Arabidopsis thaliana: one gene and its partner. The protein of the gene in region 2 interacts with the protein of the main gene of each other region in a biochemical or structural test. Each region holds a gene or a part of one and is shown on either strand. Other genes may lie near its edges.

Region 1 (4,246 bases), 4.7 Mb from region 2:
CATATGTTGAATTAATTACTAATTATGTATTACTTATTTTAAGAAGTGTAGGTGGCAACCTCTCCTTTCATGTGCTGATGTGTAATATTGTGGGAGAGAGTTGAGCTCCTGTCATATATATGATTTCTCACACTTTTTGGGAAATAATGTCTTAATATAAATTTAAATAGATCGAATACTTAATTATATAGTCTAAGTATAAATAACAAGTTACTAAAAATATGAATGTATTGTTCAAAATCTTAATTTAAAACTTGTCTTGAAATTTACTACTTCACGACAATTTATGGTGGCCAATGGCATAATACCAACCTCGTGTTTTTACATGTGTCATTTTCCTATTAGTCCAACATCAATTTTCAACTTGGTATCCAAATAAATAATACACTAAAGCACTTTATACTAAAACTAATTGACAAAAGAAAAGCACTTTATACTTAAAACTAAATTTTCAGCGACCTCTGTTTGTCGTATGAAAATTAAAAGTTTGATTAGACACAAATTTGGAAGTGATTGCCCGCGAATCATTTTCTTTGTGGCTAACGTACACACGTATAGAGACGTACAGTTCAGACGAGTGGCTCAAATGATTAAAACAGTAAATCAGAAAGAGAACATTTTAATATAACTATAATTTTAACTAGTACTTAATTTTTTCAGCTTAAAGCCATATTTTTCATCTCTATTTCTTATCTTCTTCTTTTTTTGTAAAACCAAAAAAGCAACAAAATGTGGGTAAAAAGTAAAAACCCAACCCATCGGTTTCAATCCAACTTACTTGATTTTCCATTACACACAAAAGTCACAAACCAGAAAATCAAAAGAACGAAAAACAAATTATGTCTGTTTAAAAGCATATCTCCACCAATCATGCAAATGTTTTTGGTTAAACTCCTAGAAGCATAAAAAGGTCATCATCATCATCATCATCACCTTTATCAAATCACTTAGCCATCATAATCTTGACAAACTCTTCATAGTTAATCTGACCATCTCCATCAACATCAGCCTCACGGATCATCTCTTCCACTTCTTCATCAGTTAGCTTCTCACCAAGATTGGTCATCACATGGCGTAGCTCAGCAGCGGAGATGAAACCGTTCTGGTCTTTGTCGAAAACCCTGAAGGCTTCTTTTAGCTCTTCCTCGGAGTCAGTGTCTTTCATCTTCTTAGCCATCAGGTTCAGGAACTCGGGGAAGTCGATAGTGCCGTTTCCATCTGCATCAACCTCGTTGATCATGTCTTGGAGCTCAGCCTCTGTTGGGTTTTGTCCTAGTGAACGCATAACTGTTCCCAGCTCTTTTGTTGTGATGCAACCTGTGTAACCACAATTAAGAGAGCATTACATTTTAGAACCCATCACATATTATACTCAAATGCTCAATGGAAGCAATGATAAAGCAGTTTTGTCATGGGTAAAAGCAATGATAGATGCAAAAGCGAATGAACATCTTTTGCTTATCTCTTAAAGAGTGAACAAACAAATCTACACAAATTGAGCTACTATAAGCAGGATATAACCATGAGACAATTCAGGAGTAGTTTCCAAACAATTTGATAATCTTTTGAAATCAAATCCTAGATCAGAGAGAACAAACACTACATCAACTAGTATAACAAACAACTCAGAAATCAAGAGAAAATCTGAGCAACATGACCTTGAAACCTACCTAGAGAGATCAAGAAGAACCATCAAAGCTTCTAAAAGATTCGAAATCACATTTAAGCACATAGTTTTTTCCCATTCTTTGGTAGAATTGTTGAGAACACAAAAAAAAACTCAGATAATTAACAACTTCGAAGAAAAAAAGATAGCAGATTCTTTATCAACTAAGAGCAAACTCGAAAACACATACGACCAAAACAATCATGGAAGATGAAAAATCAAACAAAACGTAAGAGACGAAAAAATAAATCAGATCCAAGCTAGCAAATCAACGAAACAGGACAACAAGCAAGCTATTAAATCGATTCAATCATATACAAAAAGCCATCGAAGATCAAAAAGCGAAACTACTCGGTCAAAGATCAAAAACAGATCAAACGACAAGGTCAATACCTCCGAATCTAAAGAGATTAGCGACTAATAAACACATATTCAAAGCTCGGGAGGACGAGATACACCGTTCTAAATCATCGATAGAAGACGAAAATGGAAAAAAAACCGAGATCCAGTAATGTAACCATCAAAGGCGTAAAAGAAGAGGTAATCTAACCATCGCCATCTTTGTCGAAGAGGCTAAAAGCTTCCTTGAATTCGGAGATCTGTTCGTCAGTGAGTTGATCCGCCATAGCTTCTTCGAGAAATCGTCTTTCTTCTCTTCCTTTGTCTTTACTTAATGAGTTTTTTTTTTTTTTGGATTCAGAGTCGTCTCTCTTTGAAAATGATGCAAACAAATATCTAAGCAAAACGACAAAAAGAAGGAGAAAAGGTAAGTCGGAAAAATTCCAAACAAAAACCCAATTAATTTTTAATTTTTAGAAGAAAATACATATATTAATAAAAGTGTATAATTTAATACCAAAATAATTAAAATATTATTACTTTTATATTTACTACTTTAATAAACTATGAATTTTTCGTTGATATGACATTAATTTTATTTATTTTTTAAAAATTACTTTTAGTAATATTTTGTTTCTATATTATAAAAATTATTTTATTTTTAAAATTCACATAAATAAAATGAGCAAAAGAAATCTTAATAAATTTTGAAAAAGATAATGATATTGTGAACCGAAATATTAATAAAAAGTTAGCTGATGTTGATATACACAATGTAACTTAGTTGAGGTATAAAAACGTACCGTTGAGAGGTTGAACTTCACTTTTTTCCGGAAGATGAATATTCGGATTATTTTAACTACAACATAAACCACTTTCTACAAGCGCTCTCACGCCTTTGGCTCACACGATTGTTTTCTAACATCATTTGGCTCACGAAATATGCTTCACAAAGTTTACTTGTGATGATCCATCACAGCAGACAGCAGTCGAGCGTTAAGAGAAAGATTGCATGTCGTACATGTACATCATGTATTCATGTGTGAAAGATGCCAACAGTGGTCGAAACACAATTATCATCAGAAAAATATTACTCGAGCAACAATACTTTTCTATCTACGAGTATGTGCTGCTCACTCTCCATAATATGGAGCTAATATTGATCATAAGGCTTGAGCGAATCACCTATCACCAATACCTAAGATTAGGTGATAATCTTAATTAAGCTATTTGTCTTTGGGCCAGTTCTACACGTATTTGGGTCACTACAAAAGTTTGAATAGCTTGAAATCCTTAATACCATGGAAAATGAGGTTTCTTTTCTTCTTCGCACTACCATCTCTTCGGCATATCTAAAAGATACCTCGTAGGCTCGTATACAACTCTAAGACCAAATTTAATAAATTGTTGGACAAACCTTATTCTAATTTTTGGGTAACACGATTGGAATCAACAAAACCCTATTCTTGATTGTCGAAACTTACGTACTTAATTAATGTAAGAAAGAAAAAAAATATCCAAGTTCATATAGGTTACAAAGAAAATAAAAAAATTCCAACACAAATAAAAATTAAATTTTTAAAATTCATAATAAAAAAAATAAATTTCAAAACTAAAACTAGATAAAAATAAAACAAAACCAAGGAAGAGAGTAATAAGCTTAAAGAGACACAACACAATCCCAACGAGGAAGCTCTTGACAAGGTCAAAGGAACATTCCACCCATACATGAACACATGCTGACGGAGATCTCGAGCATATTTTATCTGCGAGAAGTAGATTCCGTCTTCCCTAGCTTCCCATACGTCTCCATGGTTAACACCAAAAACTTGGTGATGCTTGAAATTAGGTCCTTGCCATAAATGACACCAAAAATAGTCGGAATCATCATCAACTAGCAGATGGTACGATCCTGTTGGATGCAACCTATGGTATACCATATCATGGTTCGTGGATTTGCAATGGATTATGAGATCGTTTTTTTCATGAAGAAAGTTTCTGATCCACACGGAATGTTTGTACGATAAGGCTGTGTTACTCATCATGGTAAGACCAAAGGCGAAAACAAAAAGGAGAATCGATAGACGATTCATTGATATCATCTCTATATGTTGAACTAATGGTCGATCGATTTAATTTGAAGTGATAGAATGTTTAGAAGGTTTAGTTTGTTCTGTCTATATATAATGAAAATACTAGTCATAGTCCTGATAGGTTTAGGAAACACAAATTCAACAACAA
Region 2 (5,780 bases):
ATGAGGGCAAAATCGTTATTTCTTATAGCAGAATGTGTCCATCTCCATTAGCCCAACAAAAAGTACTCTTTTTAGAGTTTTTGGACTTAAATGTACCCCAAATACGTAAAAGCCCCAACTTATTAGAGCCAAAACTCTGTTTGAAAGTTAAGAGTTGGTGAGAGAGAAGAATTTGTTTCATGCGAAAAGGAGAAGACAAAGAGCGTGTGTCTCAAACAGGAATAACGTTGTCATTATTACAGAAAATACAAACAATATCAAGTTACTTTTTTTGGAATGTTAGTTTTTTAAATATATAATATTTTTGTAGGTTATAAGCCCAAATTTCTCTTTTTTATAATTAGAAAAATAAATTTCAAATTAGACAAAGCTTCAAATTTTGCATTAATAAACAGAACTTAAGAAGAAAAGTAATTATCTTTCCCTTTAACCTAGAAAACAACAATATAATATGTCTACTAAGAAATAGTTAATATTAAAAACATACAAAAACATCACATGTAAAATCAGACAACATTTTTTTTTTACGTTTTGCCTAAGATTGTAAAGAATGAAACGACTTGTATTATTATTATTTTTTTTTTTTTGCGGTCTGGTTCTGCACTTCAAATTGAATTAAGACATGATTTATTTATTTTCTGAATTTGCTGGCCCATCCCGTTTTCCACCTCTAAATAGTAAATAGAAACCAGATAAGTAACTAATTTACTAATTCACAAAAATATTTATTTTCCTTGCATTTATTTATTTTGATTATTGTTGAAAGACCTGATCTCTTCACGTATACGTGAAATTCATGGAGAATAAAAGCTAGAATACTAATAGGAATTTAACCAGTAGTTTATTCAAGTTCAACTGAATTTCACTGTTTGTCGGTGCACGTGTACGGTCGACCAAGTCGTCAAGATACGTTTCCCACTAATAGCATTAAAACAGTAACACTATTCATATATAATAACTTTATCATAATAACCAAAAATGAGGTTTTAGCAAAAAGCAGAAAAAGAGAATATAACTGATAATATATATATAGAAGGGATTTATTAGAACTCAAGATCGAAACCTGAAAACTGAACATTGCTTTTATCGCCAGCACCATCTCCATCTACATGCATGGGTACAGAAATATCAGGATCTTGGGATCCAACCCGGTTTTCCTCGGGTCGGGTGTCTAGATCTCTGGCTGACGTGGCCGTGGTGGCGGTGGTGGCGGTGGTCCCTGTTGGTGGTTGGCTGTATAAAGCTGTGAGTTGGTGAAAATAAGGACAAGTCCTTGAGTCAAGTGGTCTCTTCTTGTTAACATCTTTTGTCTTCCTAAAATACTTGTTGATGTTTTCCCATTTCTCTTTGCATCTTTTGGCACTTCTCTTGTACCCAATCTCCAACATTTTCTTGGATATTCTTTCCCATAATGGAACAGCTTTTGAAGATGTTGATAATGAGTTCTCATCTTTATGATCATCATCATTCATGTTACTGATACTTCTTCTAATGTTGATCAGAGCCAACACTTCATCCTTTGGCCATCTCTTGCCAAGATCACTTTTATCATCGCTTTTTGGAGGTTTTGGGTTTTGGTTTTTGGGTTTTAGGGTTTTAGTAGAAAAAGGTTCAAGTGATTTGTCAATGGTTAAAAGGTTATGTGGAGTTAGGGTTTGAGGTAATAGTGATGATGAAGTTTGAAACTTTCTTCTGCCTTGGGTTTTTCGTAGAGCTAAAGAAGATGAGTCTTGAGAAGGGCTTGTTGGGTTTTGGACAACATCAAGATCATGGTCTGTAAACTTGGATATGAACTTGATGATGTTGGTGTTTCTATCACTAGCCATGGCTTGTTCTTGTGCTCTAATCTCTACCTCTTTGTTAACTCTCTCAATCTCTTGCTTCTTCCAAGCTTCCTCTCTCGCTATCTTCTCTTCTTCCTTCTTCACCATATCTTCCAGGAGTTTCTTATGCATCTCCTCTTGTTGAGCTATCATGTTCCTCACTAGACCCTCACAAAACCCTTTTAACACACCAAACCTCTCTTTCTCTTTCTTCCTCTTCTTCCTCTTCTTCTCCTTCATGATCATCATCAAGCTTGATGATGATGATGACTTGGCATCATCTTCTACGTTTCCAACTTTTCCAACCTCAATAGAGTTTCTTTGATTCTCCATTGATGCTTCTTCTACTTGACCCTGATCCTGATCTCTTAATTTGTCCTCCGCCATTAAGTCTTGTACCGTTTCTCCCACGTTTCCTTTTCCTTCTACTAAATTGGTCCTCTTGTTTTGGTTATCCCCAACTTCTGATGAAACATGTTCATTGTCATGACCATGATGATAAAACTCTTCAACCTCACTAAATATCCTATAATTATTTCCCTTGTTGTTATAATTGCCGATGTGTTGATGATCATTAGTGTTGTTGTTGTTGTTGTTGTTGCTATTGAAATATCTTCTCTCTTCTTCTTCAAATTTCTCTTTGCATTCTTGTGGACTCCTCTTAAAACCAACTTCTGCCAACTTTCTACAACATCATAATTTCATAAACGACATAACGTCATTAATAATACGAATATACATATATATATATATACGAATATACATATATATATATATACACACTTCTACCAATAATATACACATATATGTATTGATATCTTACAATTTCATCGTTAGTTTATTTTTAAAAATGCATTAAAATGGCACAAAAATGTCAATTATGTATAAATATAAATAGTTATTAATGGCCAATCATTTGTTAACATCAAAATTAAATATCCCAAAAAATGCTTATTCAAAAGAAAAAGATCTCTAGTCTATCAAATCAAATTGAGTAACATGATAATTGTAATTGTTGTAAATGTACTCTTATAAAATAAATACTAATGTTCATGTCCATATGCATATGAAGAAAAATATAAATGTGTTGATGCATATATAAAGAAGTATATTTATATATGTGTGTGATATGTATTACCTTGAAGTATGCTCCCAAGTGAATTCAGGGAACCAATTCTCCACTGTAGATCTGAACCTAAGAAGAGCAAGAACTTCATCACTACACCATGGATGATGATGATGATGTTGATGATGATTATCGCTATCATCATGATCCGTCTGACCTATCCACTCACCAGTAGTAGCACCACCATCTTTGATGTCATGGTGATGATGATGATGATGATGGTGAATGATCTTACGGCTATCCAAGCTCAACATATGCTGAGGTTGATGATTGGTGTTAAAGGAAGAGAATGAGACAGGAAAAGGTAGTGATCTTTCCGCCGCCGGTTGATGCGGCGGAAGCGGAGGCGGTGGCGGTGGAGAAGCTATGAAACGGTGGATCTGCTCAGGTACTCCACCATCAAACATTTTCTTTTATTCTTATTCTTCTTTTTTTGTTCACATCGAAATCTCTCTTTTCACTCTCTTTTTTAGTCTCTCTTTTTATATTGCTATTTTTTTTGTCATTTTGAGGGCAAGACCTTATATTTATTTAAAAATAAAATATCTGTGGTTGGTATTTAACCATTAATGAATAGTTATTGTTTATTAACTACTTAACCATGTATTTTATTTTCTTTTGTCTGATTTGATTCCGTTTTGTTAATTATTATGTATATATATGTTCAAAAAAAATTCCTAGAATAAAAGTGAATGCTTAAAACCTTTTTTTATGTTTTTGTTCTACTAACTTTATAGAGAATATTCGAACCATTCTTGAATTATTTGGCATATATAGTTGCCAAGTAAAAGAATTGAGATTTTCAAGGATGATTCTGAGTCTCACGATCCAGTTCTCATATTAATGCAAAAGTTTAGACCTAATTTACATGAAAAATATCAACAAATTTGTTTTCTGATTGAATCGAATGTATCTAGTAGCATTATATGTTTTATTCTTATCTTTCCATATAATGAAATTACAAGTCAATTTTTTAACTCAAAAGCTACCGTGTAGATAAACACGCGTATATAGTCCAAGTTTATATTTTGTTCTTCTTGCATAATAATTGACTGATAGTGAGTGTTATTTTTTATATGTGTAAAAATTCAATTTACAAAATGGCAAAGACAAAGACAATATTACTAAAAACGCCAAACATCACCTCTCTCTCATTTATCACTGACATTTTGTCCAAATACAATAAATCGAATCATTTAGCCCATGTTATAGCCACCCCTTATGCTCAAACAAATTAAGTGAAACCTAAGCATTAAAGGAATACTTGTATAGTTGAATACTATAAATATTAAGTAAATAATATATAGTATAAAGCTGGTTCTCAGATTCATATTTTATACTTTTGTCCTAGAAATATAGGATAAATATGGGCATGATCGAAATGTTTAATTCATACTTCAAAATAATTACGAAAGCATAGGTTAATTATTGATATTCCGGTATCTACTAAATTGCTGGATATATATGGAAATAAGAAAAAAAAAAAATCCACTAACAAATGATTTTTTACTTCTTATTAGCCAACAAAATATTTACTTCTTTTAAACATAGTATAAATTGATAATATATATAAATTGACTCTTTTATTTTTTTAGTTACAGACTTTTACAGTCGACTAACAAGTGACAACCAATAGGTTATATTAATCATTAGTAATCAACAATTTAAACTTCTTTTATTACAACTCTTACAACAAAATCAATTAAGTTATTAGATGATAGTCTTTCATTTTCCAAAAGCTTATTATTATAATTAAACAAGATATGATGGACTATTAGTACCGTTTGAGGTGTGTAGTTATGAATTTAGGCTAGAATCGATTTTTCAAATGCTTCAGAAAAAATCTTGCTCTCCATATTTTAACCATCGGCAGATGCTTTTAGTGGTAAATTTTTTTTATTGAAATGGAAGCTGAAATTAGTATGGAATTTGATATTATATTCCCCGGTTAACAAAAATAAAATAAAGGAGTATCCAAATTTTAATAATCATCAATCAAACAATCAAGTCTTAAACAAAAAAAATTATTATTTTATTATAACAATAAATGAGTAGAAAAGAAACACTACATAGAATATTGAGAGCCACATTTAATCTGAAACAATAAAATTTACTACAAATGCATAACTTAATATAAACCAGATAGAGTATCAAACAACATCCGGTACGAGTGATCTATTTTTTCATCTCTAGAGACTACCAACATGTACAATTACATTATTTTATAGGGAAATATACATAAATTAATTGTGCTTTGTCTTATTTTTACATCAATTGTTCTTGTCATTATTGTGATACTTTATAATATTTTTGGAAAAATAAATATAGAAATTTTGGAGGTACATTAGAATCCTATGCAGAAGCAGATGCAGATGATAGTGTAATAAACGGCAAGCGAGAATGGCAGGGCACGTGAATACATGCAGGAACTGGGTCCTCTCTTTTATTAATTTATTATGATTATTTCTTACAATTTGTTTATTTATGACCCCATTGATTTTGTCTTTTAAGTTCTACTCATCTGCTTCTCAGGTCCACCTATTTATGGTGCACCTCTTTTTCTTTTGTCGACTTGTCGTTATTGCGTCAGCGATTGTATTGGATCATGGAATCACTATTAGGACGAGGTACGTGCAATTCTTGCTTTCTTCTTTTTCTAATGTCGGCTTAAATTACTTTCACATCTACTTCTTGTTCAAATACGTCACATTATATGTGAAATCTTGTAAATCTAATTAAATTCATGTTTTGTCTCTAATCATATGTATCTCTATTCACAAGGTCACAATGATCCGTTTTGTTTGAGTCTTTCTAGAGAAAAATACTTAATC

What was found.
Region 1: the proteins of AT5G28300 (region 2) and CAM1 form a complex in vitro, tested with the Arabidopsis thaliana proteins (one study listed by BioGRID).

The regions. Positions count from the first base shown.
Region 1 is NC_003076.8:15,003,826-15,008,071, forward strand, and holds CAM1 (calmodulin 1), read right to left. Parts: upstream 2,381-4,246; 5' UTR 2,293-2,380; coding exon 2,217-2,292; exon of another isoform or gene 2,105-2,216; coding exon of another isoform or gene 2,060-2,104; intron 1,600-2,059; coding exon 1,522-1,599; intron 1,318-1,521; coding exon 944-1,317; 3' UTR 702-943; downstream 1-701. UniProt on the Arabidopsis thaliana protein: Calmodulin mediates the control of a large number of enzymes, ion channels and other proteins by Ca(2+). Among the enzymes to be stimulated by the calmodulin-Ca(2+) complex are a number of protein kinases and phosphatases.
Region 2 is NC_003076.8:10,291,746-10,297,525, forward strand, and holds AT5G28300 (Duplicated homeodomain-like superfamily protein), read right to left. Parts: upstream 3,539-5,780; 5' UTR 3,357-3,538; coding exon 2,962-3,356; intron 2,509-2,961; coding exon 1,044-2,508; 3' UTR 534-1,043; downstream 1-533. UniProt on the Arabidopsis thaliana protein: Probable transcription factor that binds specific DNA sequence.